Linked DNA regions of Arabidopsis thaliana. The protein of the gene in region 1 interacts with the protein of each later gene in a pairwise test. Each region holds a gene or a part of one and is shown on either strand. Other genes may lie near its edges. The genes, in order: SEP4, AGL92 and AT2G38950.

Region 1 (10,546 bases):
ATTTTAACTACTTACAGGTTATATAATAGGCATATATATTAATGTAGGCTTTAGAGAATAAACTACTGACAAGTTAGAGAATATATCAATGTTTACAGTTGTCTAAGCGGACAAAAGCGTCTATACATTGGATCGCTTTTTATTTATCATTCACAAATTATAGTCCGTAATGATGCGGACCCCCAAAAATAAAAGAAAACTGTTGCGGACTAACTGCAGACGGTCTTTAAACTAAGTCTGCATCGCTTTATTGTCCATCCCAAAAATAGTATGGATTGGACTACTGACGGATGAGTTCGCACTAACCACAATATTCCGTTGAATATATCACTACGAGAAGTCAGAACGGTTTAACTTAGTACAAACTATCCTTTGTCGTTCATTGATTATGAACAAAAGCATTCAAATTCCCAAGACGTCTATATCTAAAAGTTTGCTTAGTAACCCGAAACGTTGTTTCGAAGGGAACATGCAATTACATTACATTAATAAATTCTCTAGTCTTGGTCACGTCCTAGGAAATTGAACTGGCGTTTCAATAAATCAGCCATTCAAATCTTGACCTCCCCTTATTTTTTGTTCCAATAACGTAACTTCTATTATTCCCATACAAGACAACTAAATATAACTTATAATTCTGCTTATGATAGTAATATGTAGAAGAACAAAAGAGATAAAGCAAATCATATGGGTCTCCTAACTATTACTGTCCTGTTTGTCCTCACTCTAATAGGTATCAACCTCAGTTTCACAATAACCGCCGTTACAACTACAGTCGTTACCGTCGGAGCCGTCACCAAAGCATGTGTTTACCGGTTTCAAGTCGGGAATGGAGGAGGAGATATCGGAGGGTATGACCGTTATATGTTGAAGTAATAATATTACTTTATGAAATAATGTTGCTCTATGTGACTTCTTTCTCTGCTTATACTATTTCTCTCTTTTTGATAAAGCTTTGCTTAATGTTACTATTCTATTATACTTTGAGGTAGAACACAATAACAAACATTGACAAATATGAAGTCTTTACATATATAAGAAAAGGTCTTATAACGAATACAGATTATCAATTAATCCATAAAACATGAATTCTTTAAAAAGATTCGTTTCGATTACAAAAAAAAAAAAAAAAAGATTTTGGGATGAATTTGTTTGAAATAAAAATTAAGCCAAGAGCCAGAAATCTTTGTGACGTTTCGTGGTGATCAAGTAACCTCCATTGTTACTCTTCTTCCTTACGGCAATAGCCATACAATCGGAGTTATGAATACAATACTCGACCACTCCTCCTCCCATTCCTCCCTTCGTACGCCATTTCCAAATCACGCGCCACTTCGAGGTTCTCTTTCTCTGCCCTAACACCAAAACGCCTGCTCCTTGTTTCTTTGATTCCTCCACTATCGTCTTACCTTTCTCCTCCGCCGTTTCAACCACCACTATCTCCGTTTTGACCTGAAAATAAACCTTAATGTCAACAAAGGAGAACTTTTGAATCAATATCAGTTTGCTGTTGCTTAAAGCTTACGTTAGGTTTCTTGAGTTGACAAAAATTCTTCAATGGATGAACTAGTTCATGAGCCCTTGAGTTTCTCTCCCTTTGTGTCTCATCTATAGCTATTAACACAATGATCACATTAGTTAATAGCGACTCAATAAGGTATAGATGTCAAATATGCTATAGTCCTGTCCATACTCAAATCAAAACCAAATCTACCACACAGAAAACAACATTGGGCCCAAAAAAGCCCAAAACCAAATCTAAGGTCTGATTCGCCTAAAAACCCAAAAGAAGCGGTCTTCACCCTGTTTTCTAGGCAAGATATATAACAAGGTTTCGAGTTTTGGCTCTAATGGTTTTACCTCTATATTAAAGGTTCTAGTAAATGCAACATATGAGTAATATACCTTGTCCTACGGGTGTTCTTGTGACATGGAGAAGAGTGATATTATCTTCATCTTGAACACAATGTGTTAAAGCCCATTGAAGAGCATTCTTAGTTTGTGAAGTTGTGTCCACAACAACCATCACTTTCCTCCCACTCTCAGCTTGAACTCCTCCTCCTTCACCATTCTTATTAGCATCCTCTGCTTTCAGATTCTTACTATGCTTCGAACCGTTCTTTCTCGAACCCGAAGTACTTCCTTCATCTAATGATTTGCTCGACGATGATCCTCCTTTGAATGATGTCCTAATCTTATTTACCCAATACCCTGCTGGTTTCCCCATTTTCTTAATTCTTGTTTTTCTTCTCTCTGTTCTTTGAGGTTTTAGTTGTGTTTTAAATACTGTTATGTTTGTTTGGTTTTTGGTTGGAGCCATTTCTTGAACGTGCTTGCCATGAAAATAAAATTAAAATAACATTTTGGACTTGTTCATTATAATCCAACCTGGCAAAAATTATTTAGTCGTTTTAATTATCAACATCACAATCTTAATACAAATGCAGAGCACTACTTGTTTCAGAATCCAATTCTTGAGACATGTTCTAATCCGGAGAACTTTTGTCATAATCTAACAAATTCATATGATGTTCAAAAATAAAACAAAAATAAGCTCCCAAAACAATATTTTATATTTCAAGAGAGCCAAAAAACAAAGAACAAAAAAGTAATAATCTGGTGTTTGACATTAGAGCCTTGATTATATAACAAAGTTTTGTAATAATGAACTATGTTTCTCTGGCAAAAATCAAATGACACAAGCAATGATCTTTGATCTATAAAACACACATATGTGTACATATATAGATATGTATTGTTTTCAGACCATCCATCCAGGGAAGAATCCATTAACATTCTGTGATGTTGTTGCAGAGTTGGTTGCATTTGCAGGATTGTGATTGTAATGACTGCTAATTATATCAAAACAATAAAGAAGCACAAACAAATGTTAAGTATTTCTGATTAGGTAAAATAATTCAAGGGTCTTGACTATTTGTTTGTAGATACCTCATTTGCAATGCTACATTGCCTTGTAGAGGCTTGAAGAAACCTGCTTCCTGAATTGGAGGGTTTGATTGATAAGAGCTCATGCCTTGTTGCTGTTGTTGATGTTGTTGTTGTTGTTCTGCAGCAGAACTTCCCCAAAACGATTGAGTAAGTGCTGCATCACTGTCCTCCAACTGAGAAAGAAAGAATAGGAAGATTTCAAATGACAAATGGTTTCAGTTTCTTGCGGTAAAAGATTCCGATAGCTACCTTTCTCCTAAGATCTCTATTGGTTTCCAATAACATTTCCTCCTGTAAATTGAGAAAATGAGAGCTTGTTGTATTTGGATATTGTGCAACTTTTATTATATAAAGTATGTACCTTAGTTTTGAGGTCAGATAGTTGATCAAGCATAGACCGAGCCTGGCAATGAAAACGAAACAACGATTTAGGATGAAAGATTCGAAACAAAATTTGTCGATTTTGTAAGCTTAGAAATATACCTTGGTAGATCTTATTTGTCTTAGTGATGCATCTACTTGGCGTTCGAGATGCTCAAGCTCATTCACATCCATCTCGGATAGCTCTTCACCTAGCAAATGCCTAAAAAGAAGAAACATTTAGTAACAAGAGCATATATAGTTACATTTAGATGGACTAGGATATATAAGTACCTTTGTGAATGTTGAAGGATCTCAACTCTTGATTTAAGCTTCAAGTAGTCTTGATACTTATCCTGCCAATTTAAAATAAAATTAAGGACAACTTTGAGGTCAGTCTTTGATTGAAAGAGAAGATATGTACCTGCAAGTCTTTAGCTGATTGATTTGGATCCATTGTTGCATAACTATGTTTTCTATACTTATCAACCGTCCTCGCCATACCACTTTTCATAAAAACAAATGATCATTTTAACTTTTAACATATATTGATAAACCAAACTTTAAATTTCATTATGAGAATAATATAGAAAAAAAACCTTAAAAGCATCTCCATGTAAAAACATCAAGAACATCAAAATGGGTATCAATCTCATGATGTTTGTGCAAGAAAAATAAAATAAATTTATGTGGAAATGATAAGTAGCTAGTGAAATTGAGTATCATCACAGTTGTCTCTTTATAACTTTAATAAGATCATAAGTAGTACTTGAGAGAGATACTAACTTAAAGAAGTAGTCAAAGTATTTTTTATATCTTTTACAGCTTTGTGTATATATCCAGAGGTCAATTCTTAGTCTCTTTGGAAACTCTGATCAATCCTTTGGAAACAATATCAACAACACTCAATCTCATGTGTAAAAGCTTTAACTATATTTATATATGCTCTATAGCTTCTACACATATCTACTGTACTTTTTTCAGCCATAGTCTCTACTCTCTAGCTTTAATCATCATCTAGAGCAACTTAGACGCTTTGTACGTACTTTGATCATCGTTCACTTAATCTCACTCTTTACGAGCCAGATTTATGCGTATGAACTCACAAAATAAATAAACCGTAGTTAATCAACTAATTAATTGTAACTAAATCAAGAAAGACAACAAAGTTTTCATATCCTTTATAATCCTTAAGAATCAAAACCCTAACATGGATCAAAATATAGAAACTTTGAGGGAAAAAGTAGATATATCAAAGATTAAAGAGTTTTCACCTAGGGCTGCTGCAGAATTCGTAGAGCTTGCCACGGTTAGAGAAAATGAGAAGAGCAATCTCAGCATCACAAAGGACAGAAAGCTCATAAGCCTTCTTGAGCAAACCATTTCTTCTCTTTGCAAAAGTAACTTGTCTATTGATCTTGTTCTCTATCCTCTTCAGCTCAACTTTCCCTCTTCCCATCCTCTCTTTTTCTCTCTTCTCTCACCAAGAAACCAAAACCCAACTGAAAACTCTCCTCCTTTTTATCACTAAACCAACAAGTAATGAAAAAGAACCTTTATACACACACACATCTATATCTAGATAAAGTGTATAAGTAAATGTGTAGAGTGTATATATAGATCTTGTCTCAAAAGGATTCTGGTTCTTAATCTAGGGCATGAATTGGTTTCCGGTGACTAGGTGGTGGTGGTGGAGGAGGAGATTGTGGTAGTGGTGGTGGTGGGCCAACTGTGTTCAGGTTCTTCTTTTGTTGAACTGATTTTTAAGAGAATATAGCTTTGTGTTGGTTTTGCAGAGATGCTAAGCCATTCTTGGCCAAATAAATGCTTCCAAACTTATATCCAATCTTATCAACTTTCCTTTTTTAAAAATTAATATAAAATATTATAAATTCTAAAAAGTATTTTTGTGTAGTTACATTATTTTAGTCTTACTTCATCAGGGAATATATATTATTATTAATTTTCTTTTACACTTTTGTTTTTGCAGAAAATAAAAATTGATTCCTAGTACTTTTCTAAGGAGAGTTAAGATCTTTTTTTCTCTCTCTCTATAGTCCAAACAAAATGCTTCAACTTTTCTCTTTCACTCTCCTCCATTGGATTTTTTAAAGATAATATTTACACCATAATATATAAATAGATTGCTTTCTTTCATCAGATCTAGTCCATAGTTTAATAATATGCTCAAAAAAGAAATAAGAAAAAGATTCTAAATATAACCTATAAAGATGCCTTAAATAGAGCATATTCACAAGTCCAAGTCCTATCTAATATCTGGTTATGTATTGTTCATGAAATGAAAGAAGTGCAAATAAAGTTTTGTTGTTTTTTCAGGTATTGACACGTTTAGATTATGTAGATAACACTTATAATGTATATTGTGTGTGTTTGTGAATAAAAGTAAGAAAATGATAGGCTTCTAAAAGATATGTTTTTTTCTGCTTATGCTTTGCTTCTCTTGCCGACAAGTTCTTTCGTATGACAGCTACTTCACGATCGTTTTAATGCATAAAACGGATCTATACGGTTACAAACAAATTATGTCACTCTGAAATGGTTAATCTGATATGGTACTATTTACTATTTAAAGAGAAAATTTATTTACAAAGGTTTTTACGTCTCACATGCACTATGTCTTTTTATATATATATGGTGAAATTTAGATATTGAAATATATCATGTTTTTGTTTTCTTTCCAATTTCTGAAAATTTAGTCACGTTCTTGTTCAATACTATAAAATCAGTCCAATCATGTTTTTGACACTAATATAGATGTGTAAGAATATGCAATCTAGCATTTATTAGAGGGTTTCGTGTTTAGGTTCTCTTCTTAAGAAGACTGATGTATTTTACTAGTTAATCGATTTTCATAAAATACAGTAGAACTCACATAACGACTCTAGATTTATTTATAACAATAACTCGTACATGCTTGACACAAAAATTGCAGATTGATCTTGGCAAGAAAAAGGAAAATTGTTTATGAACATTTAAGCTCTCAAAGCCTTAGTGTTTTCAACTTTTTTTTTCACTTTAAAGGTTGGTAATTGTTTGACAGGTTAATTTTTTAGGATGCTTCTTGTCAGGTTAATTTGTTTTTCCTCACTTCTTCTCATGGCATCTTATACTATCTACATCATGATGATGATGGTTGTTGTTAATTTACTCATGTGATATGTCTCACACAACTTTTTTTTTAACTTTGCTTGCTGACTCATATTTCACTTGGTACCTTAGTTATTTTGTTCAACTTCTATAGATCGATGGAATATTAGTTTTTTTCTTTCTTTCTTTTGGGTACTATAAATCTTGTTGATGGAAACTTGATGTATATGCGCATGTCTTATCCAGATTATCATGTAAAATGATCCTTATCTTCTACGCACTTGCTATCCTCCACCATTCTTTTATGGTTCCAAGTTGTGACCTTACAACATGCAACATATAGATTGATGCTTTAGGAAACATCTAAAAAGAATAAATACGATATAATACTTGCAATGTGCTATTCCATCTTTTATATGGATAATTTAGGTAGATAATACACAACTTTAAAATGTCTAGTTTAGAAATGATCTCTGATAAAATTATATATATGAAAGTTGGCCAACACTCTCCATATGAGTAACACATCATCACACCAATGAGTGCCACATGTCATTCTAAATTAATATCATTAAAAAATAACAAAACTTAGTGATAAAAAAAAAAAAATCACATTGCATTGAATCACCCATTAATCCCATTCTTAACTAAATGTCTTCATCAAAAAGAAAAAATATGAAAAATCATGTTAATGTATTAAACACTACTTTCATTTTACTTTTCTTATTTTGCTATTTTTTAATAGTCATTACTTGATAACGAGTAGAAATTTTCGGGTATTGCAACTTACTTGTTTGCTAACTTTTATTAGTTTAGAATTTTAACTTAGTATTTTCTTATTATTACTTTTTTTTTCTATATGATAAGGTCTTTTTGTGCTTTACGATAAATGGATAACATTAATAATTACATACATATTTTTTTAAGTAATGGTCTTTTGAGATGTTATATATACTAAAAAATTTAATATACGACACTCTCTCCAATAGAGATATATGCAAATGCAAAGAGAGAAACCTAAAAATGTTGATCTAAAATACTATTTAATTTTTGCTTTTTTTTTTTCTCTTTCATGTGAAATCTTTTAAAGCAAATGAGTATAGTTAGTTATACATTTGTTATTCAAATCAAGTCAATCCAATATTTAGCTATGAGCCTATGATTGGAATATTAGATTAGGAGAGAATACATAGATTGAATTTTTTGCTTAGAATCAATTTAGATAACTTTCAAACCAAATAAGTAAACATAATTGCATACCATTGTATCATGTATTGTTAATGTAAGTATTTCATGATAGTGAAAAAAGATTAGAATATAATTGATATTTGAATCAAAAGTGAATCTAACTATACACATATAATTACAAAAAATGAATATAACTTTATTAACTACAAAATACCATACACAAAAATAACATAAATTAACAATAAAAATAGTTAAACATAATTTTTCTAAACAATTTTCAAAACAACAACCCACGCATAGCGTGGGTACTCACCTAATAGTCATAATAATTATTTTTCTATACGTCTCCACAAATTACTCCTAGAGATGGTCTATACATTATTAATCATTCTAATCAGTAATCACTTAAGAAAAAGGAGTTATTAAATGATGCATAATTATATATGATAAGCTTAATTAGAAAGAAATAATTATGATACATTATTGTCCTGTTTTCGAAAAATTTGGAATAAGGCTCAAGTATTAGTTAGTCATATTTGCAGAAGATAATATTATTGTTCAACTAGATGTATTAGAAATAAGATGTCAATTGGATCGTTCTATTGAAAGAATTCAGATCTTAATATCAGGCTTAAGATGCATGATTGATGCAAAAATTTCAAAATACGAGATTTATCTTCCTTTTTTCTCTGTATACTAAAGTTTAATGTAGACTAGTCAGTTTATTTATGAGCTAAATATATATCTAAGAGTTGATAATACTTAACCTGCATGAAAGTGACAAGTTTTCTTCAAAATGTTTTCTCACGATTTTAAGTTCCTCCATGGGAGCTAGTGTGATATATTTAGTATCTTTTTTTCTCTTGTCTTTATTTCTCGTTTTTTTCAATTCTGAAACATAGTGTTTTCTGAAATTATTAAGGATTTTTACTATTTTTTGGAGTGACATTTATGAATTTTGCCATTTTCTTAAAATTTTACGGATTTACTATTTTGATCATTTAAAATTATTAAATTTACGATTTTTAATACTAAAATACATACTTTATAAGAACACATAAAACCTAATAAATTCAAACATAACGAATAAAACACATGTTAATCGTATTTTTATAATTTTATGAAAAATTTACAAATGCCACAAATGGTAAACTCATAATTAATTCTTGATTTATCCATACTTTTAGACTTAGGAACGTTGTTGATTCATTTGTAAAGTATTGTTCTCCAGTTTATATAACCAATTTTTTTTTTCTTAAATTTAATGTGAGTGGTTGACATAAAAAAAAGGTAAGTTTTGCAAGAACCACATGAAGCTATTTTATTAGTACAATTCGAAAGAAAAAAAAACAATAGTCATTTTCAGAAACTCAATTATTAATTCTGTTCATTTATGTATGTATATATTTGGGGTAACTAGTAGCTAGTAGCAATTCTCTTGTTCTGTTGGGGAGAGGTCCCTTGTATGTACGATTATCATTTAATATGATTTTGCAGACCAAAATATTAAAATTTTGTTAAATGGCTATAGGTTACAAACATCATTTTGCAGGGTTTCTTCCGTATAATTAGACTAACAAATTGAAACTACATTAATTAGACCCCATGATGGTCTAAAACCCTAGTTACTACTCGATGGACCATAGGCATTTTAAAATGTTGAGACATGATTTTGTAACAACTTTTTCTGCCTTTCTGCGTCTAGTATTTATTGGAATCTCTTTCACAATTTAACAGCTCTTTCTGGCTTTGCAAATATAGTACATGTTAGATGTTTCTTGTTTGAAAAAGAACTTTTAAACCGTCTGAAAAATAAATCTATATATAATATAGATAATATATGCAACCCATGCAATTGCTGCTGTTCGCCTATATAATATATGATCGTAAGTAGATTATGATTGTTAGATTATCATATCAGAAAACACTAATTCAGTCCGTATGTGTTTCTTAATCCAAATTAAAAAAACGCTAACTTAGTATTTACATCATCATTTTGTGTTCAATAATATAAAATATATGTTATAATAATCTATCAAATCTTTTTATTAATTAATTATCAAATATCAAGATCCATTTAAAACGAATCAAATATTTCTAAGTTATATGAATTTGAAGAATCGCTTGATTATTTTGATTACTCTATAGAGTGAGATAGAGAATAGAAATCATATGGAGTATAAAATTCTAAAAGATATGTATTAGAAAAAGTAACTTTAACCTAGTTCATAATACGAGGTAACACGAATAGAAGTTGGCCAAAAAAGTCGTAAAACATTCAATTTTATTAATTAACATTTATAATTGTACTTTATTGAAGATACTCTTCAAATCTTTAGTTTTGCTTTTAACTAACAATCAAGAACGTAAGATGAGGGAAGCTTACGCAGGTTGATGGTAAGGGGACAGAGTAGGCTACGTGTCGATCTAACGTTGGTTCCAAAAACTATAATTTTAGCATATGTTGCGATTGAACGAAACAGTCATACTCACATCACGTGCCTGTACTGACACGTGTTGACATATTACTGCTGCCTTTTAAGTTTTGATACACACTATTGAGATACTTGATAGTTGAGACTTGAGACTTCAGAGACGCAGACAATTTGTTATTTTGGAGGATCATTTTCTTATTATCTATCAAGTTGCGGGATTAAATCATAATTGACACATAACCGTTTGGTAATTATCATACATACACTCCTTAGTTTGTTTTTTCCCTTCTTTTCGTATTAGATTTCTTCCTCATAATTCTAATATTCGACCAGATTATTTAGCTAATAAAGCTCGGGCTCGTAATAGCCTTTTCTCCCATATAAGCACATCGGTTCCTTAATGGCTCTCTCTAGCAGAAAATCTCTTTTCGATAACTTAATATAAATAGTGTTTGATAAAAAATTTTTTTTTATCATACATACACTTAACACCTGGATTGCATGAA
Region 2 (9,100 bases), on another chromosome or scaffold:
AACAATGTAACATGAATCTCACGAAATATGTGTTCTATTTCTAAGAAAATCTTTAAACTACCTATATACATTAAAGGAGAACATACCAAGAAGTTTGTAAACCAATATAATAAGATAATAAAATATCATTAAAATTTATATTAATTAATTTAGTAAAAATATTTGATACTTACAATAATAACAAATGAAAATATATAATAGTAGAGTATTAGAGAAAAATATATTTTTTTAAATCTCAGATTTGGTTATATGAACTTTTTTAATAAATATATTAAAAGAACATTTGTCATGGCCTGCAGGTCCACCTGATTTTTTTTAATCATTAAGTTGATTCTAATTAAAAGGAAATTTGGATAAAATAACTGTTTTATACATTAATAGATGGATTTCTTTCCTCTTTTGGCTCAGTAATAAATTAGTTTAGAGATAATTTGTTAAATCATGCATATATTATACCTTTTGGAGAATACTTTTTCTTTTATTGGGTTAGAATATTTCATTGCATTGCCAGCTAATTATAAGCTGTAAATAGGGAAATTAAAGATTTTAGACTACGTATAGAAAACTTCCAGTTGTTTTTACATACCCAAAGAAATATCTAAACTTTAAAGTATTAATATTTAAATATAGTTTAATTATATATTAATTTTTGGTTTAAAAGCAAAAAATGAACCAATTAAAAAAAGACAAGTGTAATATACCCAAAGTTCAAGTTAATATACCAAAAGTTCTTATTTAAGAACCTTTCTCTTATTTCTCTCATACTTTTTTTGTGTGGTATGATTATAATGAGAGAGAATCCAAAAAAAATGGAGGTCTAACAATAACCAAAAAATAAGAAAAACAAGAATGCACATCGTTAATTAGACTTTGTTTGACTGGTTCTCTTCTTATCAATTACATTTACAAAATGTAGAAATTTCTCTAAAATAAATAGCATATTTATTGATTTTTGATTAAATGTTTTCAAATAGTTATAAAAATACTATAGAGTAGAAGATATTACATGAGAGAATGGTAAATAATTCAATCCAGTAGTAGTTTAATTTCCATTCTCTTTAAATGCTAAATTTTATTTCAAGCTCACCGTATATTTTTGGCTCAGATAATAAATAACTTTCATCTGCCATAAAACACTAATTTTCATGTTTATTTATATGTTTAGTTAGGGGCGACTTAAGCTACTTATAGTTATAGGTCATGTTCAAAAGTTTAACTATAGATATCTTAAATAAGGTCCATATATATACATAAGAACTTTTTTTGGTAATCACGATCCGTTTAATCTATGTATTTAATTTACACATACTAAAACAATTCAAGGTATAGTCGATCTTATCTGAACGTTGTAGTAAGCATAACTGGTCACCAAAAATATGTTCTTAGTTGAAGTACACACTTGAATCCAACCCAAAAAACCTCGTCAGTGTTGGGATGATACACGAAGTGAAGCCTATAGTTGAAATAGAACGCTAGGAAGCCATTTTTCTAAAAAAAAATCTTAATGAATACTTAGTAGGTGATAGGTACAGATAGAGATACATTAAGGCTTGTGTTAATTTCAAATTACCTTAGGCCCATAATATATGCATATCCTAAAATATACCTTATTTTCTTAATATCTCAGCTTTTTATTTAAAATTTTCAGAAGAGCCAAATCAATTTAACCATATTCAATCTTAATACAGTCTTTAAAACGGTTTTTAAAGGAGAAGCTTCAGGTGGCACGCATCGAACTAGGAAGACCCTCTAAATCAAGGAGAAGTATCAGAAGGCACTTTACTTAAACACCACAGTCTACTGCTTCTACTTGGAGTTGTATTCACTGAATTACCTGCCTTAGCAACTGCAAACAAAAAATAGAAAACCAGTCTCTGTCCCATCGGAGAGGCCTTACACGGGACCAAAGCAAAGGCCTTTGGGGTGCTCTTTAGGGTCACATGAGCTAAGGATGCTACTCGGTGGTGCAAGGGAGTTATAACTCTTTCAAGATTTCTCCCATTCTTGAAAGAATCCAGAAAGCAAGATTCGCAAGTGTTCGGGAATATGCTTCAAGAAGCCCATGCATGACCAATGTCCTGAAAACAAAGAAGAAGGATTTAATATCGACAAATAATTGTATTGTAAAGTATGACATGTTTCAGAACATAAACTAAGAAAGATGTAATTAGTTCTGTTTATGTTTACATTGCCATATTGGATCTTTGTGGCATTAAGAAACGAGTGAGGAAGATTAGAGTGTTTGGATTTGATCTGATTTCTAAGCGCTTCTTTTCGGTTCAAGAGTGATTCACTGCGACCAATTTCAACAATGGTTCTCCTCGTATATATACTCAATGGTACTTCTCCTCCTATATATACAACTTCCGTCCTGAACTCTCTTCAAAATATTTAATCATATAAGTATTTAACCATAATGAAGGCTTGAAAAGTATTGATGTTTTTTGGAAACAAAATCCTATCTGATTTTGGCAGATCTATTTAGTTATGCATTTTAAGAACAAAAAGCTCGTAAAAAATAATTTGTGACCAAACAGAAATGACTTCATTGAAATAGAACTGACTTAAAGGTAAAACCTTCAACTCTTACAACAACTAATTGAAAAGGAAAAGCATAATTAAATACTGGTCTTTTAAAACAAACAAAACACAAAATGCACACTACTGAAACACATCACACATTGTTGTTGTTGTTGTTGTTGGTGGTGGTGGTGGTGGTGGAAGGCATGTGACCGGTGGAAGTAAGACCAACGGTTGGTGGCTGGTGGTAGTTGTAGTAGTTTCCGTCCATGAAAGGGATGTGTGCATGCTCTCCAACATAACCCGCTTATTCATAAGGATATTCTGTCAACATATTCATGAATGGATCATTTTGAAACGGATACTGATTTGGATCCAAACTCATATTCTGGTTCAAATTCATATCATAGTTTCCTTGTTGAATCTGATGATTAAAATCAACAGGAGCTTGGTATTGAACCGGCTCCTGTTGATTTTGATTCAAATTCATATTCTCAAACTGAAAATGATCACTAAAACCAGTAGGGACATAGGGCTGAACCGGCTCATACTGATTCTGATTCATAGGAAGACCGGCACCTGCAACACCAAGAGCTTGGTAGTGAACCGGCTCTTGTTGATTTTGATACAAATTCATATGCTGATATTGAACATTATCACTAAAAACAGTAGGGATATAAGGCTGAACCGGCTCATACTGCAACTGACTCATAGGAAGACCGCCACCCGCGACAGCAAGACTCTGGTAGTGAACGGGCTCATACTGATTCTGAGTCATAGGAAGACCGGCACCCGCAACAGCAAGAGCCTGGTAATGAACCGGCTCTTGTTGGTTTTGATTGAAGTTCATATTCTGATATTGAATATGATCACTAAAACCAGTAGGGACATAGGGCTGAACCGGCTCATACTGATTCTGGTTCACATTCATGTTATGAAATCCAGTAGGAACATTAACCGCAGCTTGATCTGCAACAACAGGAAGATTGGCACCCGCAACAGCAAACAGAGGAGGAACAGTTACCGCAGCTTGATCAGCAACAACAGGAAGATTGGCACCCGCAACAGCAAACAAAGGAGGAACAGTTACCGCAGCTTGATCTGCAACAACAGGAGGATTGGCACCCGCAACATCAAACAGAGGAGGAACAGAAGAAGAAGACTCACCATATTCTGTAAGGAACTTCTTCCTGGCATTAAGCTGATTAAGATATTGATCAGTAAAAAGACTTAAATCTTGAAGGTCCCTTGCACCATACTGTTGCTCACTCATCTTGCCTCCAACGCAATCAAACATAAAATGCTTAAGCTGAGTTTCTCGGTTTTCACGACGTAGACTCTCTAGTTTGTTTTGTTCTTTGGTGATTTGGTCCCGCAAGAAAGTCTCATGACTCATCATCGTCTTGGACCGTTCTGTCGCCGGCTTCTCCATGAACTCCGAAATCACCTCTTGAACACCTTCGGTTGACGGCCACACCGTTGGATTCTCGAACGGACTGTAGATTACCGCACATGCTTTGATGTCACAGAGAGTTGTCAGCTCGTGGAGTTTCTTCCTTATCCCTGCATTCCTCTTCCTGAATGTGGCTCTCCGAAAGTGTCTATCAGGTATGAGTACTAACTTAGTCTTCGTCCTCATTATCTTTATTTTTCTTTTCTTTGGTGTTTGTGTTTGTTTAGTTTCTTGGCCCAAGACTGTTTATATAGCAACGAAAAGGGTGATTTTTTACTCAGGGTGTGGCTTATCACGTTTCTGGACTCATTAATTTGTAGTTACAGCATTAAATCTTTTGGCTACTGTCTTATTAATTGATTAGGCCACTAATTAAAGCTATGACTAAGATTGGATTCTCTTTTCTCTTTACTAAATATAGTTTATCTTCGTATATTACTCACTTTTCTTTTAAGAGTAATATTAAGCTTTGATAAACTGTGAAAATTTCTAATATTTTAAGTGTTTTTCTTTTCTTTTCGAATAGAGTTTTACAGCTTAATTTCCATGTAAAATCATGAATATATAAAAGCTTAGGAACTTTGTTTATCTATAGTAAAATTATTTCGGGAAAGAATTAACGTGTCTTACGAAATATTTAGAACGAGCGAAAATTTTGAAATATGTAGACATTAAAGGAAGCCTACATAGAAAAAAGTTTGTAAACCAATATAATAAAATAATAAATATCATTAAAATTTCTATCATGTTTTAATATATAAAAAATGCTCTTTTATATGTATAAAAATTTATCTTTACAATAATAAAATATAAAAAATAATAATAAAGTAATAAAGAAATTTTTCCTTATAAAATATTAAAATCACAGATTTAGTTATATGAATTAAATTTTTAATAAAATATTTTTAAAAAATCTGCCATGGCCAGAAGGTCCATCTAATTTTGTTTAGTCAATAAGTTGATTTTAATTAAAAGGAAATAAGGGTAAAACTGTCTTTATACATTAATATAATAATATATATGGATTTTTTCCATCTTTTGACTTATACACTAATATGACTATTTATGACATTAAAACGTATCAATTAATGTACACGTGTAAAATCATGATTGGATATAAAAGAAAATCAGTTATTTTAGAGATAAATTATGAATTCATGCATATATTATACCTTTTGGAGCATATATTTTTCTTAATTTGGTTAAAATATTCATTGTACTGCCAGCTAATTATGAGCTGTAAATATTTGAAACTAGAAATTTGACAAGAGGTTTAGAGCACTTCCAATGGTTTTCACATATCCCAAAAAAGTATCCCAACTTTTAAAGTCTTAATATTTTTAATAATTTTAATTTAAAAATAAAAATGAACAATTAAAAAGAGACAATTGTAAAGTTCTAGTTAGTATACCCAAAGTTCTTATTTGAGAAATTTTCTCTTCTTTCTATCTTAAATTTTTTTTTAGTTATGATTATAATGGGGGAGTATCTTATTAAGACCCTCCAATAATTTTCATTTTTATTTATATGTCTAGTTAGGATGTTTGAACTATATATATAGGTCATGTTCAAAAGTTTAGTTAAAGATTTTTTAAATATGGTAAAATAATCTTTTGAAAAGTTATAGGTCCTTATTGAGTTATATGTATATGAAATTTTTTACAAGAACAGTTTTTTGGTAATCAAGATCCATTTGATCTCTATACTTGCTATATTGAAAACAATTATGGTCTGTTCGATTTTCTTTGAGTTAGTAAGCATAATTGGCCTTTAACAATATTTTGTGTTAGTATCGGATGGCACAGTTGAACTTAAATCCAACCCAAAAAACCTCATTAGTGTCGGGATGATAGACGAAGTGAAGCTTGCCATTTTGTTATACTTATTAGGTAGTATGTACAAACGGAAACTCATTAAGGCTTTGTGCTAATTTCAAATTATCCTTAAGCCCATAATATGTACATATCCAACCAAGATAGATCCCTTCTAAATGAAGACTTCTTATACTCCAATCTTGCTAGTGACTTAATGGAAGTGTGCAAAAGATAGTGGCTTGGTGAAAATACCTGTTAGTTGATCATTTGTCGAGATGACAGCTAATGCTTCATTCAAAGATGGAAGTCGGGATAGTAACCTAATTGAGATTCAAATTAGATTTCAAGAAAGTAGTAATTAAAATGATTCTAGTCTAGTATATTATAAATAGATTATGGTTTTGGACATTTTTGTTTTGAATATACCTTATTTTGTAAAGTATTTTCTGGAAGAGACTAATAAATTTAATCATAATCAATCGTATCAATTTTTTTTCCCGGATTAAAAATTTGCTTTTCACCGTGAAGTTATGAACAAAATTGTATGAATTCGTACTTTAACTGCAATATGTTAATACATTTACAACATCTCAGGCTTCATAATTTAAAACCTTCAAAGTAAAGGAGAAGCTTCAGGTGGCACGCATCGAACTAGGAAGACCCTCTAAATCAAGGAGAAGTATCAGAAGGCACTTTACTCAAACACCACAGTCTACTGCTTCTACTTGGAGTTGTATTCACTGAATTACTTGCCTTAGCATCTGCAAACAAAAAATCTAAACCAGTCTCTGTCCCATCGGCTTTGTTCATGTCATCGGTTAAAGAATGCCTTACACGGGACGAAAGCAGAGGTCTCTCAGGTGTCCTATAAGGGTCACGGGAGCTAGGGAAGCAACTCGGTGGTGCAGGAGAGTTAGGGTTGCTTAAAGAATCTTCTTTCAAGATTTCTCCCATTCTTGAAAGAATCCGGAAAGCTAGATTCGCAAGTGTTCGGGAATATGCTTCGAGAACCGCATGACCTATGTCCTGAACACAGAGAAGAAAGATGTTTCAGACCATTGGACTAAGAAAGATGTAGTTAGTTTTGTTTATTTATACCTTGTCATATTGGATCTTTGTAGCATCAAGAAACGAGTGAGGGAGATTAGGGTGTTTGGATTTGATCTGAGTTCTAAGCGCTTCTGCTCGGTTCAAGAGTGACTCATTGCGACCAATTTCAGACAACGGATCTTTAGCGAATGACCACGATGCTCTTACAGGGGATTTACCATTGCTGCCTTGTTCTGTAATCCTTTCTTTCCAAGCAAACATAGCAGATTCTAACTTGTTAACTGTCTCGAGTGCTGCATGTTCGGTTCCCAGATTGAGCGATATAAAGATTTCATCTACTGTTGCAGATTCCACAGCCAACATCTTGTACAGTTCATCACCGAGGCTGTTCTTTCCAGACTGTTACAAAACAAGATTTTAGAGGTAGTTGTATAATTATGACTATCACAAGGGATAATAAAGAGTGCAAGCTTACTTTAGGTATTGCTTCCTTGATAACAATGGGAACTGGCATTTCAAGAAGAATGTTTTCGTTTATGGCTTTTGTAGCTTTGAAGACTTGATAAACAACTTTTCCTTTGTCAAGCAATTTCTTCCTTCCTGAGTTAGAGAGTCCAGGTTTAGGCACTTGTGGCGATGGAAGCCACCATCGTTTGCTCTCACTTGTACTCTTGTTCTTCCCTTCAGCTCTACTACCAATCTCAGAATACCAAAACTCTGTGTTCACCATAGAATCCAGTGTCTCCTGTGGAGTTGTAATGCAACTTTAATCAGATCAGGAAATAGAAGAATAAGAAAAGACAAGATTAACAAAAGAGATAATCCGCTCACAATTAGCATTGAGTCCAACTTCTGAAGAGCTGGGAGATTCATATGAATGTCTGCGCGGGCTTTCGGAGTCATTATCTGTTAAAACAAGGATTCAGCTCAGTTTCTTCCTCTGGAGTATATCTATTTATTTTAACACCTTAGCTACGTACCTCAAGTGATCTTCCATTGGCATCATTTTGCTTAGAAGGGACTAACTCAATCATGTAGTTAGTTGGAGAAAGTAGCCAATCCATTTCCCTTCTCCATTTCTGTTTCTTCTCTTCACACAAAGGTTCCAATTTCCAGAGCTCGCCAAAAATCGACGCTGCAAATTCATTAAAGTCAGTTACTCTTAACAGTTCACACGAAACCTCTAACCATATCAAAGAACATAAAGCTTAAGAATGCTAGGAAATTGTAAAACATACTAGCAAGATGTGTTACAGCATTTGACAAAGCCAAAGCTACTTGGACACCCTTACATCCCCCAGTGACATCTTCGCCGAGCAATAACTTAGAAAATTTCTCCTTCATAGCTTCCACATCCAAATGACAGTACACATACCCTGGTTTCTCCTTAGCATCAAAATGTTGGCTACTGCCATAGCCTTGTTTCTTCTTCTCCTTAGCATCAAAATGTTGAGACCTTCCAGATAAGTTCAAACCATCGCAACTGTGTTCATCATTCTTCATCGGTAACCATTTCGAAGAAAAAGAGCTAGAGGCATCTTTGCTTGATGAACAGCTTGAAAATGCATCATCATCTAACGAATCTGTAAGACATCCATCTCCTCGACTTGTTCCACTCTCTTCTTCATATGATTGATTATTGATAATACAAGTTTCCAAGCCATAATATGTAATCATTTCTGAAAAGAAAGGGGTACACCACCCAGTAAGAACTTTAACACATATACTTTCACCTTATATACTGTAGACTACAAAGTGGTAAGACACCGAAACTTGCACACTACAAAGAGATTGACAAAGGTAAAAGAAGAGGTCAACAATAGAAAACTAATTAAACACTGCGTATCATTAAGAGACCGTTCAGATTTTGACTATAAAGAAAACCCCACCTAGTACATCTATCTACTTCTTGTCTCATTCATCAAAAATGAGAATCAAGCAAATGGTATCACTAGACACGTTATTTATGCAGACTAGTGTTGTGTTTTCTATACAAGAAAAAACAAATGATAAAAAAGGAATAAAAGTCGTTGTGTTCCCTCTAGTCTTTAATAGCTAAAGTCAAGACTTTTGCTAACCCAAGACTGCTAAACAATTAAAATGCTTCCATTCTCAAAAGGAAATGTATAAAAAAGTCTCAAAAACAATTGAGTTAGTATCCCCATGTGGTGAAAATTTCCAAACGGACCCACTACAAAGACTTTTTATAACTTGTCACGACATGGCATTTTTTCAAACGTTCAAAAGCATACTATAAAAACAT
Region 3 (12,440 bases), about 15 Mb from region 1:
TGTCTCTTTATGTCTCGCACTATTTCTGGCCTAAGTCAACCGCAAAAGCTGAACTCTCTTTTTATTATCTTTTTAGTGCTTTTTCGTCTTTAATTGTAATATACACTTAAATTTTGTTGGCAACCTCTTTGCATTACATGTGAGAATCATTTCAAAATATTGCGTAATTTGTTGCTGATTACTACTACTATACGCAAAGCTCTACGTTTCTCCAGCTCTCCCAAATCCGGAGAGTTAGGAAGTTAGGATTACATAGCAGTTATCATCAAGATAGTATATACAACTTCGAAGTTTCGAATACATTTGCACTAAAATAAAAGTGTGCAGGGAAATTTGAAAATTTCTATTGACCTTGGCATGACACTGATTGTAACCCAACAGTTGTTTTTGATATTTATGCATATGCAATGTGAATAGCACCACTGACCAAACAATTAGTGTTTTTACATGCAGCTGCAATATTAAAAGACCTTTATTCCAATGGTTGATAACTTCTACACTAGTTATCAGGTTTTCCTGAAGAAATTGGAAGTTTTACTATACAAGAGTAGTTATCCTCAAGGTTTTATACATTGCATGTGTTTCAGGTAGTTAAATCTGCGAAGTTGTAAACCAAACCCCAACATTTTGTAATGGGAGCTTTGGTGAGTAGGCAATTTATGATATGCCTAAACTGATACCGAACAAATAAAAATGTCTCTCTTCATTCACGTTTTTCCACCCATTCTATGTTTACTTCAGAAGGGACTGTCAACAAATTTCAAAATCCGTACAATATTTTTAGTTTCATGTAAGATTCTCTAAATTCACGTTAAAGGGTAAATCAAAAAGTTCTCAGCTTCGGGTTGGCATCTAACGGGGCTTTGTATAACTGTTTCCTGCAAAATTAACCTCTCTTTACTTTACAACAAAGTATACTCTCCCGCCATCACTGCGCTTGATCCCACAACCCCCAGACCTCATTGAACATCTAGCTTCTCTTCCCAGATACAGCTGCATTTCAGCAAGTGGTGACCAGAGAAAATAAGTTTCTACCTCTTGTCTCACTTCACGATTAAAGTCTACAAATTCTTTAATGCTTTCTTACCTTTTGATTGCGCTATAGATGTCACTATTCTTTGCCAAAAGCTGTTCCCTGAAGAGGCATGTCCACCTGCGATTCTCTCGGCCGCAGGACTCATGTCATGAACATACTTCACGGATTCAGATAATCGGTGGAGAAGATTCATCAGCGCAATCACTTCGTTCCTTTGCAATTCGAGCTGAAACAAAACAACAAAGATTGCTACATCACTAAAATGCCGTTCCCAATAGACGCTTAAAGAAAATACACGGTGCAAATGGACAATGCGTCTCCAGGTGTGTTAGAAACGCACATTATGACGCAAATTGTCTTCACCATTGACAGTGAATAGAATTTTCAATGCAGTACCGAGACCGAGAATCTGAAGCTTTCCCCATAGACGGCATTTCTCACAGCCTACACAGTCCATTATTGCACTGCAATGCAAGACGATTCAAGTAATAAAAAAGAATTTAACTTAGCTAGTCAGTGGAAATTTTATCATTGCTCAAGAAAATTAGTTAAAGGACTCAAGAAGGACCTTATGTTTCTGAATTGTTTTTCTAATTGTTGCTTCAGTTCTGGTCCACGTTGGCCTTTCCAGAGCTTTGCTTCATCAAATGGTACTGGACAAGCTGCTTTAGTTTTGGGGTCACTAACTACTTGCTTCACCAGAGATTTGGTCTTCAAGTCCTCAATCACATTACCAGTCTCATATTCAGCCTCTCCCAAGTAATCTTCTGCCTACAAATCATGCAAAAAAAACTAATTGTGACTATTCTAGACCACTGGGACCCTTTTCCTAGGATCCAGACAGAAAAGTAAAGTGGTAAGTAACTGACCTTTGTTACTGCTCTAAGAACGAACAAAAATGTGAAGTATAGGTTCTGAACGCGGTCTGGGTATCTTAACACACGATCATACAACAACGTCAGGTTTTGACCCCACTGAAATACAAAAAAAAGTAGTCTTTGAGTCATTCTATATCTGCTTAAGAAATACATATCACAGATAAGTCAGATTCGTACGGCAGATCTTACCAAGTTTGTAGCTTCATCAAGTAAATAATCTGAAGCGATATGAACTGAAATGGATGAGTGAAGACCAGAAACCAATTTGTACAAGATCTTCTCTTCTTGGCAAGATCCTTCAGATGTATCTATAGAAGCCAGTATAATTGCAGGAGTTAAGACAGCCATATGAATTAATCAGCCACTTGGAGAATAAGAGTATAAAGAAACAAATAGAGAAAACAAGAAACACTTTAATATGGTGAAGCTTACGTTTGGGACAGTTCTCAGAGTATATAGCTTCCCATATCCTTCTAGCTGATGGGCCAATATAGCCAGTGTACCGTTCAGGATTAAGCCGAAGATTAACATATGTCATTTCATCTGCGATCATATATACAGTCATCAAAAACTGCATCTAACACATAGCAATTCGATGCTAAAACCCCTACTTGTTACATATCATCTCATGAGCCAGTTATATATGAAGTAGCGATAGAGTTTCGACATGTAAGAATCAAAAATGAAGTAGACTGTAAAGAAAAGTTACCATTGTCAGTTTCATCATCACTGGTCCAGGGATTGTCTGTGACTGTCCAACCCCTAAAAGCTCTAGTATCCAAGGTACGATCAACAGTAGCTTGCGGTTTCCCCTCTTGACAAACAGGATTGTATTGACTTAATGGCTTCTTAAATACTTCAGGGAACTCGCTTTCAGGACATTCACAAACACTGCAGTCTCTTAACCGGCACATGCCATCATCAGGCCAAAACGGGCAATCACACCACAGTTTAACCTATTAAACGCATTCAAACCTATCACAACACACCTCCAAATCCTCTAGATACTTTCATGATCAAAGAAGAAATATGAACCAACCTTGAAATATCTGTAAAATGGTGTCTTAACAAGGTCCTGAAGCAATGGATTCAACACTTCCGTGTTTAGCCGATTCACAGTTTCATAATCACAACAACAATCTTCAACTATCCCAATGTACTTCTGCTGCTCAGCCTAACAACAAAATCAAAACGATTGAGAAGTCTAGTATACAAATCAAAATCAAAGTAATCGCTGAGATTCAAAGCTAATCACGAGCTCAAGTATCCAATTCAGAAACTTACAAAGAGCTTTTAGAAATACCTAACCTGACGGCAATTGCATATTTTTCCGGTAAATTCAGAAATCGACGAATTCTGAGTATTCAAAAACACAGCGACCACGACGGCTAACAGAACGGCAGCTATAGCTCCGATCAGCAAAATCCAGCGCTTTCCCGATCCTTTCTCCTTCCCCTTCACACTTCCGACGTCCGTCTCCGCCATTCGCACTATCGCAAATAGAACTAAATCTGACACAGACGACTACGACGAGTAATCTCCGGCACTGAATTTTGAATTTTCAGAGAAATTGTGGGCCATTTTTACAAAACCGCAGCTCTCAAAAAAAGAAAGTCAAAACTAATCTCAATCTCATAAAGTCATCAAATCCAACGGCTCTGTATTTTCGTCAAATATTTTCCTTCTACTTTAGTTAGAGTCAACGTAAATAAATATTAGTGAAACCAAAAAAATGTTTTTGTCTATTAGCCAAAACAAACAAAACACATATCAAGTTGCTTCATGTATCGCCTACCAAAAAAAAAAGTTGCTTCATATATCGATTTAAGAAGAAGACAAAAGTGTTTTTATCGTCTTGCATTTTGTGACTAAACTACAATCTCCTTCATTATTCATCACTGCTTCTGTTTCTTTGGCGCGTTGGCCTCAGAGGAATCGTTATCGCATGGCCTGTTTGATTTCTTAGAACAAGATTCTAAAGTCTCCTTTGCATCATTGTTTCCATCTTTAACATTCAGTATATCAGCCAAAGATCTCGCCTTCACTCTTGTCTGGTCCTTAGTTCCAGCTGCGACATCTTTCCTCGTGATATTACAGGGTGTAACCTCATCTGTTTCCTTGCCTTTGTCTTCTTCGGGTTTTGAACTTGTGGTGGCTGGAGAAGCACAGAATTTTTGATCTATGCCTGCCCATCTGAACATAGAGCTGAGCTTTTTACCTTCCAGGGCTTCAACGAGAAGATTCAACTCATCCATAGTGTACCTATAGAGAAAACTCTTTCTGTCACACGGACATGCACAGAGCTTCCTCATGTGGTTCAGACACGAGTAACGATTAGCAGAGCATGAACAGTTAACCGCGGAAAGATACAAATCCCCAAGACATACACAGCATTCCCTTTTGTTCACAGCATCATAACTCTTGTCCATCCTTTGCGATTCTAGTGAACTGATAAGAAATTCACGTCTATTTTTCTCCAGTTTGATCCGTGACTACATAAAAGAGAGAAACAAAATTAGCAAAAGGTACTGAGGAAGTTATTCTACGCAGGTTTTAGTGCATAATCTGAGGAATAAGACAAGCAAAGAGGAGGAGCAGTGAGTATTACCTTGATTATGTTGGAGAACAACCCATCCGTCCCACAAGAATCATTCCATCTCGTGTAACATGCTGTGTTTTTCTTCGACAACCCATATTCCTTAAGACATTTTACAGCTTCCCTTGCAGCACTAAATAATAGCTTATCATACGATATCAGCGACGTTTTACTCATCTCTTGATTCACCTGAACAGCAATATCCCCATGGGGCAACCAATCAAGGGGAGCAAAGTTTGCTTTCTCCAAACAGTTGAAGCCACAGTCAAAGGCAGAGTAATACGACCCTGGAAATATAATAACATACTGGCCAGGGTGCTGGACACAGCGGGTCACTGGTATACCCTCCACGCTCAATTGATATGGAGACATCATCATCACCTGCCAAATGAATTGCTTCCCTTGTAAATGAACCAATACTAGTATATAATAGCTCACAAAAATTTAACAAAGTAATGATAGGATTTGCTTTGAACAGATAAATCCAAATACTGTGTGATCTCTCTATGTCATGTCATGGTCGTGTATGCTGAACAAGAACTAAATCGCAAGTGGAATCGTTGTTGGTCACTCTTCTGTCTATTTTCTTTCGGAATTTTGAAAAGAGTAACTTGTATTGATGCTTAATGTGTTCAAATACTTACAGGATTATGACTCTTCTTTGGCTGTTCTCCTGACATCTCAAGGATGAAGCTTTTCATGGCAGCCTTAAACTTTGATCGATGACATCCTGCTACGGAATACCACACTCTAGGAGCGCCCACATGCAAATAGCAGAGAGAGTAGAGTCTCTCCTTCTCAGATTTCTGTTCAGTAACAGATATTCCAAGAGACAAATATGAGACTACACAAGCAAATTAGATTAATAAACTTACAATGCTGCAAAATTTATTCTAGTGGTAGTTTGCAAAACAAATGCTATTTCTGCGTTGACCAGTTATACTTATGCTTTCAGAAATTGACGACCATAGCTTGACATCAACCTTAAAACTTACCCAGAACTGGGAAGACAAGCACATTCCTACACTTAGACGAGGAACACAAACTGATTCGCAGTCTTCTAATGATAGAAGAGAACCAGGAAGCTTAGCCGTACTGTTCAGATTCCAACCTGATGAATATTTGCTAGATTCAGATGGTGCAGATAAGGGAAATCCACTTCCAAACGTTGCAGTGTCTAAATCATTGCCATAAAGCACCTAAATTTACACGACAAGTTAGTGATATATTCCGTTTCATATATAAAAGCAGAACAACTGTTTTTAACATTACCCCAATTTCAATAAGTGGACTCTCAACAATTTGTCTGTACTCTTTTTCAATGTCTGCCACAATTAGCTCATTTGGTTTAAGTGATGGAGATGAGTTCTCTGAACCCAAAACCTCATCCTTCATGCCAAAATGACTCTTCTTGTATGTATCTGCAAAGTTTTTAAAGGACTTCAAAGTATACCCAGGACCACGTTCTACTCTACATAACTGAACCCCTTCAGATGCAGCATCATTACTATCTGCATCAACCTCCTTTTTAATCTTTCGGTTCTCGGTCTGAATTCCAAAGAGCTGAACTTGAGGGAAAAATGTAGAAGCCTCCCATATTTGTTTCTCCTTGAGAAGACATGGAGGTTTCCATGAAGGTGGAGGAACAACACAACAGATTCCATACGGCTCAGCTCTGTCACGCAAGCTTGATATATATGAGAGTGTGTCCCTGAATTCCTGATAATTCAGTAACACTGGGTAAGAGGAAAAGGAATATATTCCTCTGTAAGAGTACATGATTCTTTACCAAAGATAATTTAGTTTAATACCCTAATTTTTCTTTCATAAAAAGAAAACAAAACTGACCTCTTCGGTTGGGTTGAACACAGGAGCTTCCTCAAGGACTTTGGTCTCAGACACTTTGAGGGGCCGTCTTCTCCGTACCTATGAAAAGCATTTTTTCATACTTTAGTAATGAATGTGAAAGGATGAACACACAATCATGATACCTATACTCTCATACGTCTTAAAGGCATAGTAGACCTACCCGAATCAGCACATCAAGCTCTAAAGAATTCATACTAAATCACTTATGCAATCCACAACATGAAATTTCCGGCTTAACTAACAACTTAAACATCAATCAAGTATAATGTCTATTAGTAGTAATGACTATGCATATTTCCCAGAAATATCTCCTCTTTGAACTCAAAGAATGTTTATAATAGACTAAAGAACTAAAAAATAATAGGAAAACATAACTATTTTGATAAAAAGAAAAGGAAAAGCATTCCTCCACAACAAATTGGCTCTTGCTCTAATAAGGATACTCAAAAGACCCTCCTCCAACAAGGTGTCGAACCATTGTCCTCACGGCTAAGCTCAAAATTCTCAAATAACTATATTCCCTTTACTGCTCTTCTCAACAGCATACAAAGCTAAAAACTACTCTATATGAAGATAGAGAGGAAAGAGGTAGACATAGTATGAGACCTCAGTTTTTTTCGGCCTTAAGGCCTCTGAGCTGGGAATTGTGTGACCATGCACTATCCACGGTCGGCTTTTAAGAAACATATTGCAACTATCTTTATCATCTGTGCCGAATCCAGTTGTCTGCTCTTGTCTCGACACGGACCTGGGACTTTCTTTGTCTCGGGGTACATTCCTCAGCACAAACGATGTTTGAGATACAAAACCTGGCGGAGCAGAAATTGTGTCCATATTTCCAGATTTCAAATACGTTGATACACCTTCAATGCCCATTAAACCTTACAGCCACCAAAAGGATTGATTTCCGGAAGACGAAATAAATTGAACTTCAGATGAGGTCAATAAAGATGCAACTTCCTGCAGAAGATGGAAAGAAATCTAATGTCAAGTATAAACCAAGTGATTAAACACAGTAACTACGATACGTTATTCAACTAAAAAATGATAGGTGTGAAGAAAAAGACTGCTACTTAGAAGATTCAGTCATCATCACAAAGATCACAGAAACGGTCTTCTTGATTAGTCTAGGAACTTAAACTCATACACCATATATCATTAGACAGCATCTAAACTTTCAAGAACTGAGAGACAAACTGTAAATTATGGTACTTTCAATACTTATATCACAGATTCCAGGTCAATTACGAAGGAGAGCCTTCTACTTTATTGGTTATTGCTTTCTCAAAAGAATCAGTAAAGAATACTCCTTTTTCAACCACAGGATGTGATCCAAGACATGAAAACCATTAGCAGCCCTATACTAAGATTGACTCTGAGCTTGAAATAAAAACGCTTCTCGTAAAGAGTATCGGAGCTTAGGATACAAAATCTAAAACCGGAAGACGAAAAAAAGCTAAGATTGATATTGATTAGCGATCGGAAGGTCCAGTTTTTAACAGACGAAAAGCGAGTAGAACACATACCCGGACGAAGTGAGATCCGAAGACTTATGAGACATTACACATTCAACCCCAAGAACAACAGAGCCTCTGGATTTTGTTATGGTGATTGGTTTTTTTTCCCGTCGAAAAACCTAATTTCCGATGATAATACTTTTTTTAAAAAAATGTATATTTTGTCCACCAATAAGATAGTCACACACAATAAATGCAATATATATTTTATCCAACATGAAATTCTTTTTTACAAAAACAAAAGATAAGAAATTATCTAAATTCAGAGTTTTATAAATAAATAAATTATCTAATTTCCACTTCATTTGAGGGATTACATATTTTTATGTCCAATATGGGCCTTTTTACCATGCCTAAAAATACTGTAACATCCCAAATATTTTTCTTACCATTGTGAAACTATAATATATACCCACCGCTTTCATATGCCCTAAAGTTTACAAAATTTACCAAAGTAGCAATCGTTTTTGGTCTTCCATAGGTCGATGAACAATGAGAATGTTGTTCGGTGCAAGGGAGTTTGTTAAAAGAACAGAGTTTTTCTTCAGCACTTCGTTATTTTCACCCTAGAGATTAATAAGCCATAATGTATCTTTAAGTGAAGCCTTTATCTGTGGTCTCAACTTCCCCGCAACGCATAAATTGTGATTTAACATATATACTGCACAACTTGCACGGCTTCTTCAAGTCTAATAAATCTTCAATTTAGGAACTGATTTAAAATCGACTCATGAAAATTTTGATTTCTCTAGCATTAATTAGGTATCAATGGATTACACAAAGAACAACTTGAGTTGCTAGAGACAAGGAGAAAGAAAAAACGAAAATTATTACAAAAGGCGTATTATATCACCTAAACTATTGGGACCGTTCTACTATCATTGTTGCTATTCTCATTGTCTTCATTTTCACCGGACATTTCCTCGAGTGACTTACCTTTAGATTCAGGTACCAAGAAAGTGAAGAGGATACCTAAGAAGTTAACTACACCCAACACAATAAGCGAGTTCCTGACCCCAATCCCTGGAGGGTATCCTGCGTCGGTCTTGTCCTTGTCTGGGTTCTGAGCCAAGTACAAGAACCCGAACGCACCAACCATTGCTCCTAATTTTCCTGATGCTGCAGAGATACCGTGGCAGGTTGATCTGAACCTGGCTGGGAAGATTTCGGCCGGCACAACGAAGGTTGTAGCATTGGGTCCAAAGTTGGCGAAAAAGAATGTTAACGAGTACATGATAACAAATCCGATTCGGTTCTCCTTGTGAGTCCAGTGGTTGTAAGGAATAGCCAGAGCAAACATAAAGACCGTCATGAAAAAGAAACCCATCATCTGAATCGCAAATCTTCCAATGACGTCGATGAACGCAACTGTGAACCAGTAACCAGGTACCGTGCTACACAAGGCGATTAGCGTTTGCGCACGGGCAATCTTGAAAACCTCTTGAATTGCGTTCATGCTTTGCGCGGGAGGAATCCATCCGATCGCGCTGAAAATATCCTTTTGGAAAAGGTTTTGACTGTAGAAAGCAATGTCGAGAAGGAACCATGTCGATGTAGTGCCTAGCAAATGAAGCCCATGGCGACTCATGAATTCCTTTGAGAACAATCCAAAGGCCTTGGACTTCTCCTTTGAGATCTCTTCCAATTTCTGTTGTTCTGGCTCTATCTCCACTTGCAGAACCTTAGACATGTCCGAAGCTGCCTGCTTTGCGTCCTTAGCAACCAAAGCCGTGTACCTTGCGGTCTCAGGCATCTTCGACCTTGAGTAATACGTCATAGCCGCAGGGATAGCACCAGCCATCAGGATTATCCGCCATACCAAATCAGCTTGAGGAATCGTGGATCCCAAGGCATCATCCGCATAGGCCGGGGATGGAAACTTAGCTTCAAAAGCAGAGGAAATTATAATAGCGAAAATACCACCAGCCATGATTCCGAACCCTTGCATAGCAAAAACCGCAGAGACAAAGGCTCCGCGAGTCTTCTTGTTCGCATATTCAGACATGATGGTTGCGGATAAAGGGTAGTCACCACCGATGCCAAATCCAAGCCAAAACCGAAAAAAACAGAGCGTGGCCATCACAGCTTTTGGCTCATGTCCGAAAGAGAGACCAGAGGCTATTGAACAAAGGACCATGACCATCAACGTCATACCGTAAACTTTCTTCCTCCCGAGCTTATCACCAAGCCACCCGAAAAAGAGCTGACCGGCGAGAGTCCCACAGAAGGCAACGCCATTGACGGCGGCTGCGACGTTGGGAGGGAGAGTCCCAGGCTTTTGTGCGCCTTCCACGTGGTAATAAATACGACCGAGGAGCTTCGTTACGAGAGAGATGCAAAAGAGATCGTAAGCATCAGTGAAGAATCCCATTCCGGCGATTATGATCGCCGTGAAATGGTACCATTGCGTCTTGGCCACGTCAAGTGCATTCAACACTTGTAATTGTTCCCTTGCCATTCTTCTTCTCCTCTGCAATTTTTCATCACACAAAAAAAAGTTCGACATATAAGTACCCTTAAATAACTCATTACAAACAATAAAGTAGTTAGTTATACCGAACTTGAAATAAGTTAGGCAGTTTTAAAAGCAAATAGAATTAGACCCTGCTTTATATAGTATCAATTAACATTAAAATATCATAAAAGTTCTATTTAATTTTTCTCATTTCATTGATCTCACAATTACAACCCAATAAAGTATGTTCACCGAACTTGAAGTCAGGCAATATTAGAAAAATAACATGTGTATGTTTTTTAGATGAAGTAGTTGTTAACGACAACTTCTCATGTTCCTGTACATATGTATGATGCTTACTTATTGCAAGAGAAACCATATACAGTATATGCATATTCAAGGAACTGAAATGAAGTGATAATAAAAGTCAACTCAATATTAGTCCACACTCGTTAATTTTGAAATATTTATTATATACGTTCTTCTTATTAATTTGTAAAGATTTGTTAAAACTTATTAACGGATATGACAAAAGATTGTTTATTCCTATTTTTTTGGGTTTATCTCGACTTTTTAAAGGTGAACGGAGACACTGGAAGTACTTATTTTATTATTGTAGTTTTCAACGATTACTATTTGTCTTCAGTTACCCACAAAAGTTGACTTGTGACGTCTAGTGAAAATCTGAACACGAGCAACAAAGACTTTAACTGAGTATGACAGCGAGTTGTTTTGTCTTAATTGCGGACACACCTCTTATTGAAGAAAGAAAACAACAAAATATCACAAACTTCTTCAATTGAAATTTTTTGAAATCATGCACTCAACAAAAGGAAAAAAAAAAAAGTCTTCTAGAACTGAAGAGGAGAGATCCAACAAAAATACGTTTGAAGAGAGAGCAATCCTATTTAATGATCCAAGAAAGTTGGAAAAACAAAAACTAGTTTTCAGTGTTTTTTTTCCAATGAAAGAAACGAATAAGACATGACGAATTAGAGATTGAACAGGGAGAGAGGACCACCTAACAAAACAAAAACGATAACGTCCTAACTAAAATCATTATGCATCCATAAACATTAACATCAACAGACATAGTTTAAAAGAAACACTTACAGAAAGTTTATGTGGGATCTGATCTGATAAAGTGTTTTAGTATTGTCAGAAGAGTGTAGAAAGAGAGAGGAAGAATCTTTAGTTTCCTTATTTTCAGGGGAAAATGTTGAGAGAGAGGAAGAAGGAAGTGGAATGATCGTTGAAGCTGCCTATGAACAAGGACAGAGTTGAAGTGTATTAAAACGGTCATTTATAAGGGACTCTCTAATGAGATATTCCTTTTGCTACTTCGGTATATTCTTCCGAACAACGACACCGTTTTAATATCTTGTAGGTTTTCTCTTCCTTATTTACCAACTTTTTTGCTTCGTTTAGGACCTTAGGTATTATTAGGACACGATAATTCTGTTTTGCTGTTATTATTCTTTTAATATCCAAAAAAATAGCTGTTCCACTATAACAATAAGTTCTTTTTTTTCCTTGTAATTAAGTTGACCATGAATTGTTTAAAGAGCTCAATGCTTGGAAAGTGGAATTTAAATTTTGGGATCCTCGTCATTAATACCATTACTAGATACGATACATGACAATTGGCATGCGGTTTAGGCAAATATAAGTTGCAAACTGGTGATTATCACTCAGAAGTCAGAAAGAACTTAAAAGTCAAAACCCAAATATATATTTATGCTAAGAAATAAATTTGGTAGATGTATAAACTGCTTTTTAAATAAAAATTAGTTATTAGAAAATAAACATGTGAGCGGTAAGCTTTTATTGATGCCTTCATTTATTTTCGTTTTATTATTTCTTGACTTTTTGTTTCTTCGATATAGTATGTATCTTTGGATTTAATAAAGATCGCAATAAGCCAATAACTGCAGGATGTGTAATAGGTCTACAATGTCAATGGTTTATTATATAGTGTAGTTTGAACGGGTACGGGAGAATAAACACCCTATACCCGTAACTTGTAAGGTGTAAAGAGGGTTTGTTCCGTATTTGATAAATAAGAGCCATTAATTTAAGGCATTTACAG

What was found.
Region 2: the proteins of SEP4 (region 1) and AGL92 interact in a two-hybrid assay, tested with the Arabidopsis thaliana proteins (one large-scale study listed by BioGRID).
Region 3: the proteins of SEP4 (region 1) and AT2G38950 interact in a two-hybrid assay, tested with the Arabidopsis thaliana proteins (one large-scale study listed by BioGRID).

The regions. Positions count from the first base shown.
Region 1 is NC_003071.7:1,123,844-1,134,389, reverse strand, and holds SEP4 (K-box region and MADS-box transcription factor family protein), read right to left. Parts: upstream 5,123-10,546; 5' UTR 4,769-5,122; coding exon 4,584-4,768; intron 3,816-4,583; coding exon 3,734-3,815; intron 3,666-3,733; coding exon 3,604-3,665; intron 3,533-3,603; coding exon 3,433-3,532; intron 3,353-3,432; coding exon 3,311-3,352; intron 3,241-3,310; coding exon 3,199-3,240; coding exon of another isoform or gene 3,148-3,198; exon of another isoform or gene 3,123-3,147; coding exon 2,950-3,122; intron 2,853-2,949; coding exon 2,762-2,852; 3' UTR 2,552-2,761; downstream 1-2,551. Other genes in the region: MRH6 (Adenine nucleotide alpha hydrolases-like superfamily protein), read right to left, coding at 1,165-1,452, 1,526-1,614, 1,906-2,227. UniProt on the Arabidopsis thaliana protein: Probable transcription factor that binds specifically to the CArG box DNA sequence 5'-CC (A/T)6 GG-3'. Plays an important role in the determination of flower meristem identity. Involved in the specification of sepal identity.
Region 2 is NC_003070.9:11,320,018-11,329,117, forward strand, and holds AGL92 (AGAMOUS-like 92), read right to left. Parts: upstream 4,160-9,100; coding exon 2,902-4,159; intron 2,812-2,901; coding exon 2,675-2,811; downstream 1-2,674. Other genes in the region: ROPGEF14 (RHO guanyl-nucleotide exchange factor 14), read right to left, coding at 6,457-6,813, 6,886-7,236, 7,313-7,582, 7,669-7,743, 7,818-7,972, 8,076-8,516. UniProt on the Arabidopsis thaliana protein: Putative transcription factor.
Region 3 is NC_003071.7:16,256,414-16,268,853, reverse strand, and holds AT2G38950 (Transcription factor jumonji (jmj) family protein / zinc finger (C5HC2 type) family protein), read right to left. Parts: upstream 8,052-12,440; 5' UTR 7,906-8,051; intron 7,340-7,905; 5' UTR 7,256-7,339; coding exon 6,986-7,255; intron 6,437-6,985; coding exon 6,359-6,436; intron 6,230-6,358; coding exon 5,783-6,229; intron 5,710-5,782; coding exon 5,506-5,709; intron 5,317-5,505; coding exon 5,155-5,316; intron 4,892-5,154; coding exon 4,523-4,891; intron 4,407-4,522; coding exon 3,810-4,406; 3' UTR 3,584-3,809; downstream 1-3,583. Other genes in the region: ERO2 (endoplasmic reticulum oxidoreductins 2), read right to left, coding at 704-747, 1,088-1,262, 1,377-1,500, 1,605-1,807, 1,906-2,010, 2,104-2,222, 2,347-2,457, 2,624-2,870 and 2 more; PHT1;4 (phosphate transporter 1;4), read right to left, coding at 8,750-10,354.